2 linked regions of the Drosophila melanogaster genome follow. The protein of the gene in region 2 interacts with the protein of the main gene of each other region in a pairwise test. Each region holds a gene or a part of one and is shown on either strand. Other genes may lie near its edges. The genes, in order: Itgbn and scb.

What was found.
Region 1: the proteins of scb (region 2) and Itgbn interact in binary tests that used the Drosophila melanogaster proteins (3 or more experiments, as listed by UniProt).

Annotation. Positions count from the first base shown.
Region 1 is NT_033779.5:21,051,038-21,058,552, forward strand, and holds Itgbn (integrin betanu subunit), read left to right. Parts: upstream 1-1,995; 5' UTR 1,996-2,096; coding exon 2,097-2,184; intron 2,185-2,247; coding exon 2,248-2,324; intron 2,325-2,420; coding exon 2,421-2,607; intron 2,608-3,956; coding exon 3,957-4,707; intron 4,708-4,765; coding exon 4,766-4,961; intron 4,962-5,067; coding exon 5,068-6,168; 3' UTR 6,169-7,007; downstream 7,008-7,515. Other genes in the region: CG42238 (uncharacterized protein), read right to left, coding at 737-822; CG9265 (uncharacterized protein), read right to left, coding at 7,204-7,438.
Region 2 is NT_033778.4:15,246,974-15,251,872, reverse strand, and holds the start of scb (scab), read right to left. Parts: upstream 3,090-4,899; 5' UTR 2,578-3,089; coding exon 2,390-2,577; intron 1-2,389. UniProt on the Drosophila melanogaster protein: Integrin alpha-PS3/beta-PS is a receptor for laminin. Also binds to wb. Important during embryogenesis for the development of the trachea, dorsal vessel and salivary gland, as well as for dorsal closure. Required for short-term memory processes.

The sequences.
Region 1 (7,515 bases), on a different chromosome or scaffold from region 2:
TCTTCCACACTGCTCCTTGTTCTTGTTCTTCGGAAGTCCTGTTCTTTATATCTCAGGACATTAATGATTAATCCCAGCGTCGTCTGCTCTCCCCTATCGCTTTTTTGTTGTTTTTGTTGCTGTGCGTGTGCCGTTATTGGCGGTATAATCCAATAATCCAACACGAAACAGCGTGTGCAGTGGGAATTGCAAAAACTAGAGAGACACAGCCACACACACACAAACACATGTAGACTCAACCGCCTACACACACGCACACAGTTTAGCCGCTTTGTTTAGTAAATTAAACTTTTCACTTTTCTCTGCCACGGAAAACCAAAATGGACAATTTTCTTATTCAATTTCAGTTTCTGTTTTCCTTTCCTTAGTTTTTCTGCTTTCTTTTCTTATTTTTCCAATCACAAAAACACAGATTAGCATAGACAAAAGCAAAAGCAAAGGCAACAACATCCAAACACACAAAACAAAAGCAAATGCACGACGCCTACAACAACAGCAACAACAAAGCGCCGCCGTAGTACACAAAAAATTCCTTTTTCGCTGCGCGTCGTCTCCTTGCAGATATTCATATATATATATATATTTATTTATGTATGTATGTGTATATGTACATTTTTATATTCCACAGAGCAATTCTATTTTGCTTACTTTTTTAATGACTTTTTCACCTTTGATTTTTTTGCCGCACTTTAATTTGACTGCATACTTTACATCTCCATCTCTATCGCACACTCACCGTTTAATTGAGAAAAACACACACGATCTCGTCAATTGGTCGCGTATTTGTCGCCGCTCATTTGGTAAACATTTGGAGTTTTTCATCCGATTTTCCGCTACAAACACAAAAAATGCGAAACTCCGCGCTCCGCTCCAAAGCTGAACCGTTCCGATTGAAAATCGTCCGCTGTACGACCCCGCGATTTGAAAATTTTTCGCCGACTGGCCGTTTCATGAGTGTTTCAGTATTTTGCTGCGTCTTTTTACCCACGATTTTGGTCACACTACTGCGCCATCCATCTCTTGTTCACACAGCCATTTCATAAAATGAAAGAAGAGGACAACAACATAATGGTAAAAATGTTTTTTCTCCGCGGGGTTGGTCACAGGATAGTAAGACCATGGCTCGGCTGGAGAATTATACCGCCCGAAGAGAGTAAGAGAGCACTAACTTAAGACCAGTTTTGACAAATTGAGCCTAACAGTGTGACCAGTAATTTCCTAATAAAATCGTTATTCTGACTTATATATTAAATAATTTAAATTCTATTTTACGTTTAAAATCATAAAAGCAATCTGAAAAACACAAGACTAACATTATGCCAACCGATAGTCCTATTCATTGTGTTATTTAATACAAATTTTTCTAAGAGAAGACTTGCACTAAATGAACAAAATTTTTTTTATTAAATTTGTATAGTTTTGCTTATGTGTAGCTGTTGGTTTGTTGTTGTTTGCTTTAGACTCTTTCATATGAATTCGTCTTGGTTTATTTTAGTATTTTCGGTCCCTTACAAGCTCTGACGGCTACAAAACTTGTGGCTCCACATATTTAAAGTACAAATATGTAACCCCTTCTCTACCATTAAATGGGAGCTGGTCTATAATATATTTCTAATGGGATGGAATTTTTAAAACAACTAGACATAAAAGTATACTTTAAGGTTTTGATTGTGACTAAATATGATATCTAAATAAATAAAGAAATGGATCTCCAAATAAATATACATATATTATGTATATACTTTCCAAACACTAATATTTATTTAAACAAAACATAAGAACGATAGCAGTGCATTTTTTATGTCTTAAAATGTAGTGAGTTAGACAACACGTGAATGAAATTTGCTTTCTTTTATTATCACTTATTACTCTCATTTATTTTTAAGAGTGCCATTTATTCTAATCACATCATTTTCCCAATAACTTCTCACATTTTTTGTCACTCTCTCCTGATAAGATACGAGCGGAGCAATCAACGTTTTTCGTACTGAACAAATATTAGTTACGCTGGACTTCTAAGGCCGAACGGTCGCTAGCTCCCTTAGCAAAAAAAATATATGTGATCGTTGGTAGTGAAAATTGCACGCATTTTGAAAATGACGTCACTGGGCGGAAGGGCGTTCTTGTGGATATATTTGGTTTTTCTAATAGCTGAGATCTCTCATTCGGATGCAGATTCAATTGGTTTGTTAGCCGGCAGCTTTGACGTGACATAACGGATTTGTTATCGCCATCTCTTTTACGCAGATGATCAGTGCAGGCACGCAGACAGCTGCGAAAGATGTTTATCCGCTCATCTGGAATGCGCTTGGTGCACGGACAAGGTGAGTACGAGGGAGATGGCAAGAAAACATAAACGGTTCCTACTGCTGCTGTCATCCTTGCGAAGTCAATCATTTTCCTATTTGGTTGCATATCAGGAATACCAGGTGGGATATCGTTGTCTCTCTCGCCGGCAACTACTTAACTACAACTGCAGTGAAACGGATATATACGAGAACCAGCCGGTCCTAGATGTCCTTCAGGATAAGCCCCTAAAGGACTACGAAACCAGTGATCAGGCTGTCCAAGTCACACCCCAGCGGGCATACCTTAAGTTGGTCAAAGGTGTGTGTTTGGATAATTGTTTTATTTAGCTTTTCTTATCTTATCAAATTTGATTTATCATGTGGCTACCAACACTTTTTCATGTGTGTCACCCTTCCAATTCTTCCCCACTACTTCGTATTTGTTCCACATTTGCTCCACATCATTTTTAAACATTTTGTTTTTGTGTCCGTGCTTTGCTTATCAGGCCTTGGTGGTTGTCACATCTTGTTATTGTTGTACCATTTAGCGTGGGAATACCTATCCCTCTCTTTCTTTCCGCCGTCCTTGTCCAACACTTTTGAAAGTTCACTGACCCAAAGACATTATAATAATTATAATCTAATGTCTGATTGAAAACCCACTTTATAGGTATTGAGATACTTACCTTATAAGTATTGTGATCCCAGAACTAATAGATTATGTATTCGTTGTCGTGCTGAATAAGCGAGCAAAAATGAGTCACAAGAATGTGCTTTTGTTGTTTATAAGTTTTCTCGAGGGTTGAATAATATTTCAATGAGTAAAACGCGATTAATTTCAAAAAAAAAAAAACATACATTAATATTTTGGAGCTTTGATCCGGAAATACTCAACTAATTTCTACATATATCACTAACTTCTAAGATTAAATCACAGAAAACCACAACCTATAATTGTATTTTATTATTTTTAGTTGTTAACCCATTTTGGGGTAGTTATTTTTAGCATACAGACCCAACTAGCACTTTTATTCCTTAGTCTCCATAATGCATTTGCGTTTATCTCAATTGATATGGTGCTAAGTTGTTTTCATCGAGCCGCATTTTGATGTCTGTCAATAATTTTGATTCTCCAAGAGCTTGTTAACCAATTTAATAACCATTAGCATCGCTTGCGTAGAAATCTAGCTAGGTTAAGAAAACCAGTTATTAAGCACAAACAGTGGTATAGGGAAGTCGGTTAATTGCACGCTTAAGGATTACAAGGAAGCCAAACATTTATCCTGGGTGTGAACTGGCTCAAGTGGTAATCAATGGTTACAAAGCAGCAGTGAAGTGCACAGAGAAAATGAGTTGACACGCAATATTTCTTTTCATCTTTGACGAAAAATTATTTATTTATTTTAAATATTAACAGAACTTTTTTCTCAAAGGCCGACATAAAATTGAGTGCTTTAAAATGTAACACCCTAAAATGCACTTCAGTGAATACTTAATTTAAAAAGCTATAGTTTTTCTCACTGCGAGACTGAAATGGGTGCAGAATATATATCAGACTGGTTTCAGCTTATGTAGATGTGTCAGCCCATAAAACAGCTCATAAACAAGGTTGCCTTTCAGGTGCATAGTAAACCGATCTATTACCTTTTATTCCTTTTTGTCTTACAGGAAACACGCAAAGAATGAAGCTGAGCTATAGAACTGCACGCAACAATCCACTCGATTTGTACGTATTGATGGATCTAACCTGGACAATGAGGGATGACAAGAAAACCCTGGAGGAGTTGGGAGCCCAACTCAGTCAGACTCTTAAAAATCTAACAGGAAACTACAGATTGGGATTTGGTTCTTTCGCGGACAAGCCAACTCTACCCATGATTCTGCCACAGCATAGGGAAAACCCCTGTGCTGCGGAGCGGGCCACGTGTGAACCAACCTATGGATATAGACATCAACTTTCGCTAACCGATGATATACCAGCGTTCACCTCAGCCGTGGCGAACAGCAAAATCACTGGAAACTTGGACAATCTCGAAGGTGGCTTGGATGCTCTAATGCAGGTTATAGTGTGCACCAAGGAAATCGGCTGGAAGGAACAAGCTCGAAAAGTGGTGATCTTAGTGACCGATGGCTTTATGCACTTAGCGGGGGACGGTCTTCTAGCAGGTATTATCCAGCGCAATGATAAGCAGTGTCACCTGAATAAAGCAGGTGAGTACACGGGTTCATTGAACTACGACTACCCCTCGCTGGAAGAAATCTATCGGGAGTTGCTTCGTCGCAAGATTAATGTAATCTTTGCTGTCACCGAGGAGGTTGTAAGTAGCTATTGGGAACTCAGTGCCCTAATGAAGGAAATTAGTTACGTGGACATCCTAAGTGCTGATTCCTCTAATATATTGGAACTAATCAAAAAGAGGTAAGTGGGGCGGTAGTACTCTTCTTAGATCCTAAATCTCATTAGTTCTACCTTTTAGCTATGAGAGTTTGATTAAACGCACTCAGTTTGCCGATAACAGCCCGGATTTTATTGACATGGCTTACTATACGGATTGCGGTGGTCAGTTTCCCAGCTTACAAAAGCGGAATTACTGCAATAACGTCACTCTGGGCAAGCAGATTGATTTCTACGTGGACGTCACTCTCAAGAAATATCCCGATAATCAGGTTTATGTAAGACAAACAATACTAAGTGGAAAACAACAATTTAATTCAAGGATAATCTTTTGGATATATGTTTGCACAGTTCACTTACCACTTCATTCTCTTTCGCTTTTAGACACACAAAATCCGGGTGGAGGAAACCTCCTTGAGCGAGTTCATGGATTTGGATGTTGAGCTTCAGCGGCCGTGTCCCTGTCAGGAAACACCAGATCCGGAAAACGAGGAAGGACGTTTCCTGTGCGATTATAAGGGCTATTTGTACTGCGGAATGTGCGAATGCGATGAGGGGTGGACTGGGACCTATTGCAACTGTCCCACAGATGCCACAAATGTCACCAGCAATGAAGCTCTGCTCCAGAAATGCCGTCAACCGTTTTCGGATAAATCCACCTCCGAATTGGTTTGCTCCAATCACGGGGACTGTGACTGCGGAACTTGCTTGTGTGATCCTGGATATACGGGTCCTTTTTGCGAGTGTCGCGAATGCCTGGACTGCGATGAAAAGCTGGCTGATTGTTTCTGCGGCCAATGCGTTTGCAAATACGGATGGTCGGGTAGCAAATGCAACTGCGATGGGGATACCGATGCCTGTGTGGGACCCACGGGCGAAATATGCTCGGAAAGAGGCACCTGCCAGTGCGAGGAGTGCCAGTGTGAGGAGCCGTATTTGGGTAAATTCTGTGAAATCGATCCAGAGAAGGACAACAAACTTTGTTTGTTCTACGAGCCCTGTGTCACATGTCTGATCGAGCAAAAACAGGGAATGGGCGTCTGCGAAAACTTGACTGAAATATGCAGCAGTTTGGATAGACAAGAAACCTATCCATACAACTTTGTCCACGAGCTGGATCCTGAGCAGGATCAATGCTTGGTACGACTGGTGAACAAACATGGCATCCAATGCGACAGCTTCTTCGTCTATCAGGTCATCGACCACTCAAACTTCTTGACCATCCAGGCAGTTGATTGCGAGCCCCCGGATTACGTGGCTCTGGTGGGATATATATCGGCATTTACGCTGCTCATTGGACTTTTGATCATTTTCATAATTCTGTGGTACATTCGAGCTAAGGATGCCAGGGAATATGCCAAGTTTGAGGAAGATCAGAAGAATAGTGTCCGACAGGAGAATCCAATTTACAGGGATCCAGTGGGTAGATATGAAGTGCCCAAGGCGCTAAGTGTTAAGTATGATGAGAATCCTTTCGCAAGTTAACATGAAAAATGTTTTTTTTTTAAGATATTAGATTGTACTTTGACTTAAAATTTTCTTCAAAATTTGTGTATACCCGTTACTCGTAGAGTGAAATTATACACTAGATTCGCGTTGAAAAGTATGTAACCGGTAGAAGTAAGCGTTTCCGTTCATATTTTAGTTTTAGTTTATTTTCTTGATCACAATACATAGCCGAATTGATCTGGCCTTGTCTGTCCGTCCGTCCGTTTGTTTTTTTTTTTTTCTAATTTTGTTCCCATTTTCTGTCGGTATTCCAAAAAATCTCTCCTTCGCATTTTTACTTGATGAGTAATGGATAGCTGATATTCGGTTAACTCGACTATAGCATTCTCTCTTGTTTTTAAGCTATTGTAACTCAAGAATTACGAGTTCACGAAGACATTAATACAAATATAAATTTTAGGTGTTTATTAAAAAGTATTAGCCCCGTTCAGAAATAACATTCCAATTCCAAGACTGGTCACAACAATAGCACTATTAAGATCAATAATTTTATATAATATATTTAGAACATAAATTTGTTTTTTATACATAGAAATTATATGAATTAGTTCAAAAACTCGTGTATATCTACGCTAAATGAGCTAAAATTTATTACAGCTAAAAAACGAGTAAACGTATAACAAAGTTAGCTTTCAGTTTTCGTATTGGACAGCTCCTTTCAGCGATTGTATTCATATAAGTACAAAAATAATGGCTTAAGACATCGTTTACATTAATCCGCTTGGGGAGTATAGATGACTACTGGCAAATCGGAAATGCAAAACATTACCTTAACTTAAGAGGCATTACAAAAATACAATTCGATTAATTAAGGCTAAACGCTTTCCCCTTCAATCTACTTTAACTAAATATAATATCACTAGATTCGTAGCTTAGACTAAGTATTGGTTCCTCGCGGCCAAAACGCCAAAAACACGAAATTCAATTACACATGCTCGTACCTCCACGTTGGAAAAAGAATAATGTAAATACAACAACAGCAGTGGATGATGCGCCCTTGGTGTTGGGCGCTCAAAGGACTCGCTCCCCCAGCGACGGTGTCCTTTGGATGAGCATCGAGGGTGGCTTCGCCGGCAGAGTAACGCTACTTAGCTCAGCATCCAAAGCGGCGATATCGGCGGCCGTCAACTTGGAATTGGAGTTCAGCGGTACGGTGGGAACGGCTATGGAGCTGGGCAGGCCGTGTGGGGAGGCGTCGGGCACCAGGCGCTTCAACAAGCCACCCACGCAGCCCCAGGGGAAGGTCCTGCGAAAAACAAGGAGGGTGGGTGAGTAAAGGTGGGCCCAGGCAAAGGTAAATATTGTGCATTATTTAGGAGAAAC
Region 2 (4,899 bases):
ATTTCAGGCGTAACTTTATCCGCATCTCGGCGCGAGTCAAATGGTTGGAGCTTAATTGCATGCGAGAAAAAAAAAACGACAGTCTCAAAAAAAGAGTCAACATATTTAAATAGGCGAATAACAAGCACATGCCACTTTGGCTACCTGATCCAGAAATTGTTTATGCTGAATATAAAGTGGTGTGAGGCCTAAAAACAGTCAGCCAACATTTGTTTTGGACTGAACGTTCGGCGTATCTCAGCTGTAATACAAAGTATGGGTTGTCGCTTACGTATTTTCCCAAAACATGAGTCATGGCCAAGTAAACCATGTCTGCACACGCATCTGCCCCCAAGCCCCAACTTTTTCCATGGCCTTTGTGCATAACTACAGCGGTGGTCAATTCAGTGTGAGCAGAAATTAAACAGAAACTTAATAAATTGTATTACAACTGTTAACTTAATTTATTTTAGGAAGATTTGAATGACTTTTTGAAGAACTATATTTTTTTCACCATCTGTTTCACAAAACAGTCACCTTACAATTATAACCTATTAGTTATTAAAAAAATAAACTAACTTAAAGTATTTTAAAATATATTGCAACTTTATATATCTTTGCAAATTGTCTTCTAAAAAATAGTTGTATGGCATACAACAGCATGCTAACATAATTGAAATGTGAAATTTCTTTTAAATAGTATAATTTCGTTTGTAAAAGTACGCTTTTGGTGCGATGGCGCTTTGTTTAAATGCCGAACAAGGAACGTTTATCCGTTTTTGTGCGCGGACAATAAAACATCTTGCGGACCACACAAATCTCCAGCGCCATCTCCATCAGCCAAACAAAAACAAAGAACCGCTGCAGCGTGCGGTCATCAAATGTTAAGAACAAAAGCCACCATGCTGCACCGTTTTCCGTTGTGGAGTCTTCAGTGTTTTTTTTTTGTTTTTGTTATAAGGAATTCGGTTTAATGACCCAGCGTAAGACGGCTAAAAATATTTGTGTGTGGTGTCAGCTGAACGGACGAACTCTTCGGAGGGCGGGGATGCGGATGGGGGCAGGTCTGCAGACGCCATCGCCTCCAAATCGGATTGGAAACATTTGTGACTCATTTCGCCAGAATGCAAGTGGTGTTGGGAAACTGTGAGTGGATGCACTTCCCCCGCATTGGATTCGAATTCAGCCCTAATTTCATTGGGAGACCGTAAACAAGAACTACACTTTTTGTTTGTTTCAGCTAACTTCAATTGATGTGATATAAATTACGGCTTGTCGTGATTTTACGCGCAATTTCCGTACATAATTAGGCGCACTTCGTAATAGCCAAGAGTCATGGGTATTTTGGGATCCAAAGTGCTGGTAATACAAAAAAATGTAGGGGGGGGGGGAAGAGCGGGAACTGTAGAGGAAGTTCCAAATTACCCATCCAGGTTTATGGAAATAAAATATGGTCAAAAGCTAGCTCGTTATGATCGCGTACGAGTACTGCATTCAAACCAGGTTTACTGATCGCCTCAATTAAAACCAGATAAGGTTGTACTGACCAAGTAGTTCTTGTATCTAAGCTGTGGCCTGAATTTTGGCAAATACATAACCTCAACTACTCTAACATAAATTACAAAGCATGAACTATCATCTCTCTTTTTCGTTTAAGAGAGAATACAGAGTAGATATCTCGAGAATATCTTAAAAAGCGTATCTGAGCTTCGATCTGACCACTTTCTTCTTATTCAATTAACTGTGATTTGTGGCGCCGACTGAGGTGTGTGATGTCATTTTTTGGGGCCCGCAAACCAACAAAAGTAGCCGCCATATGATATGTAGGTCGCCCGACTCACTGAAAATTGTTCGGGTTTGTCAATTGTTCGAGACGGAGTTGCGATCTCTCGGATCTGTGGCAATTGTAGTTGAAGTAGACAGTTTCTTTTTTTTTTTGTTATTTTTAGAAAATTCGGTCTGAAGTGGTATTGCTTTCGAGAGGTTTTCAAGCTGGGGTTTTCGACATGCCATGAGAGTTCTGTCCCAAAACTCGAACAACCTATGCTGAGCACCCATTTACGACTTGGCGAAAATGACATTTTAATTTCTTGGCAAATAGAGCGACCGAGTGTTAAGTGCCAATAAACCACCCAAGCCGATACTAATTTTGTCGAGCCTCGACTTCTGTCGATCCCCTTTCGCAAGCTTCAGTTTCCATTTCCGTATGCCAGAAGTTTCAAAATATTGACAGAGGTGTGTTGGCTTGCAACTGAAAGCACTCGCTTGTCTTGCGTCAAACATAAGAAATATGTTGATCGGTTATCGAAATAAGTATGTTTTCGAAGTATGGAAGAATCTCCCTCCAGACCCTTACACGTATGTATGCAAATATTTGCCGCGATCTACAGCTGGAAAATAGGTAACTCACCTGGTCTGGCGGATGACAAGCGTGTATCCAAAGTAGGAGCTGCGAGTCTGGTTTATGTGGAACTTCAGATGCTTCGGGGAGTTTATCACCCGACTGGGTCGCGGCATAAAATTGAATGCTTCGATGTGAGAGATCAGAGCCAAGAGGGCGAGGAATATGTGAGGGAACATTGTCGATTCAGCATTCATTGGAACTCATCAAAATTAAGTTTTCGCATTCGTAATTTCGTAATTTTGGTAATTTCACTTGAATGGACCCCGGCTCTTCTGAGGGCAATAAATCACAATTGCGCCAGAGAGCCACACCACTGAAACAGGATCCGTTGGCACTCACTTATTTATGATTTATTGAATTTAATTGAAGCACTCACACACTCGAGATCGCTGCTGTATGGCGGCGGCGTTCTCTCGAAATTATATTAATTTAATTAAGCCCAGCCGGCGGCTTTCGCAAATCTCTCGCGAGATCTAGGTGGCAAACTTGTTTTGGCTCTTGTCACTTTTGCCGGCGACAAGTCGTTGTTAATCGCACTACTCGACCGCGCCGTATCTCTGCACTGATGTGTAGCTAATAGCTAATAAATAGCATATAGCATATAGCCTATAGCATATATGGTGTTTTATTTCCGCAACGCTAGTCCATAAACGGGGCAACAGATCAGTGCTGGACGTTTTCACTCTTCGACGACCCGAACCGAAATGAAATGAATTCAAGTGCTGCAGCAGACTTGGACGACCGTCGATTCTGCTGGCCGATGTGTCCACCCAACACGATGGTCGAAAGAGATGTTCTGACCTGCTGTAGTGTGTGTTTACAAACATGGTTGCGCTGAGATTTCTGATGATCATTGATAATAACAATAAAACTTTAAGGTTTTCAAATATATTTTTTTAGTATCTAATATATTGTTATAAGAACTATCTATATATAGTCTATTAGTGCTTTATATTTTATACCTACACTTGATTTTGTTTAACAATACTATGGTATATCTAGTACCGGTTTTTGTCAGTGCATTCTCAATTCGATTGCGACCATTTGTGGTGGTGGCTCTCCTTGTTCGCACGCTACTTGCATTTACACTCCCCCTACGCGTTTGCTGCACCCTCGCACACACACAAACGAACGCACACACACAAATAAACGCACACCCAAGTGCGAGAGTACAAGTAAGTGGGTAAAAAAGCAAACGCCTGTCACCATGGAGTTCCAACTGGGAGCCGTATTTTCTTATTAATACTCATTGAAGGAATCCCGACTTTATATATATGGAAACAGGCCAGCTTATTTGTTCCTCATCATCTGGTAGATTTGGTTATAATTAATATTTACAATGTTTTAAGGCTCATCAAGATCTGCACACTGAGAGAAAGGAAATTGTTTTTATGGAAATGTACTTGTTAGTTCGTAGTTATTGCACTTATTCCTAATTTATTTCTTATGTATTATACTTAAAAGATAAGTAATGTTTATTCTTTATTTAGTTCTACTTTTAAATAATCTACATTCGTATTTTAAAATATTTTCTCCGAGTGATTCCTTTTCGGGATGTGGATGAGTGCCAGTGGAAACGGAGAGCATATGGCGGACATAAAGGATGCCGATCACGATTCCCAGGCAAATGGCCACCCGAATTGAACGGCGTACTGCTGTCATTGAACTTGGCTGCCGTGGCATGGTGATCAAATGGCTTATCAGCGGGCCCCAGGGCAAATATTTATTGTAAGTATAAAGTAGTATATGCCCCTCGTGCTGCCTTATCCGTTCAACGTTTATCATTGGGGTAGGTTGGGTGGTGGTGACCACAATTTATTAACTTTACGATCCGGTGACATGAAATTGTGCCCAGCACGGGGGGTTCAGTGGTTCAGGGGTTCAATTAGATCGACAGGGGTGTACTCTAGTTGACTTTTCCTCCAGCTATCGGTTGCCTCAAGCTGATAAGTTGGAAAACCGCGCTTAGATCGCTGGCTGTTTGTGCGCCCAGTAATTGATTTTCATTTTCAACGCAGCCTGAGCCCGCCGTTTATCAAGTCAATGTAAAACAATAAAAACTAATAAAACAAAAGTGGGGTCTGAGGTCTGGCAAGTCGTTTCCACCGATAAGCGAAACTACAACAGCCGATTACGCGCCATAAAACTCAATTCACAAGTCGAATGCTCCCAATACGATTCATAAATAAAATTCTCTTTAAAAGTTCGAAAGTTGAATGTTTGCCAGCGATTCATTCGGGTAAACAAAAGAAGTTCAAAAGGGCGGCTAATTCGGTTTTCCAACGCCGCATAGCAAGTGTTTTTTTGGACCAGGCCGCTATTGAAATGCGCAATTAAGCGCCCGCCAGGCGATTTGACAGCAATTATGTGTTACTGCACGCCAGCAGCAACAACAGCGATTGCTGCAACAGCAGCAGCAACACGGCCGCAACTGCAGAAGGGGGAGGTGCCACGCCACACTGCCAGGCACATAATTGAAGTTCATGACCCCCCATCCTCCGCTATCGGGGGCAGCT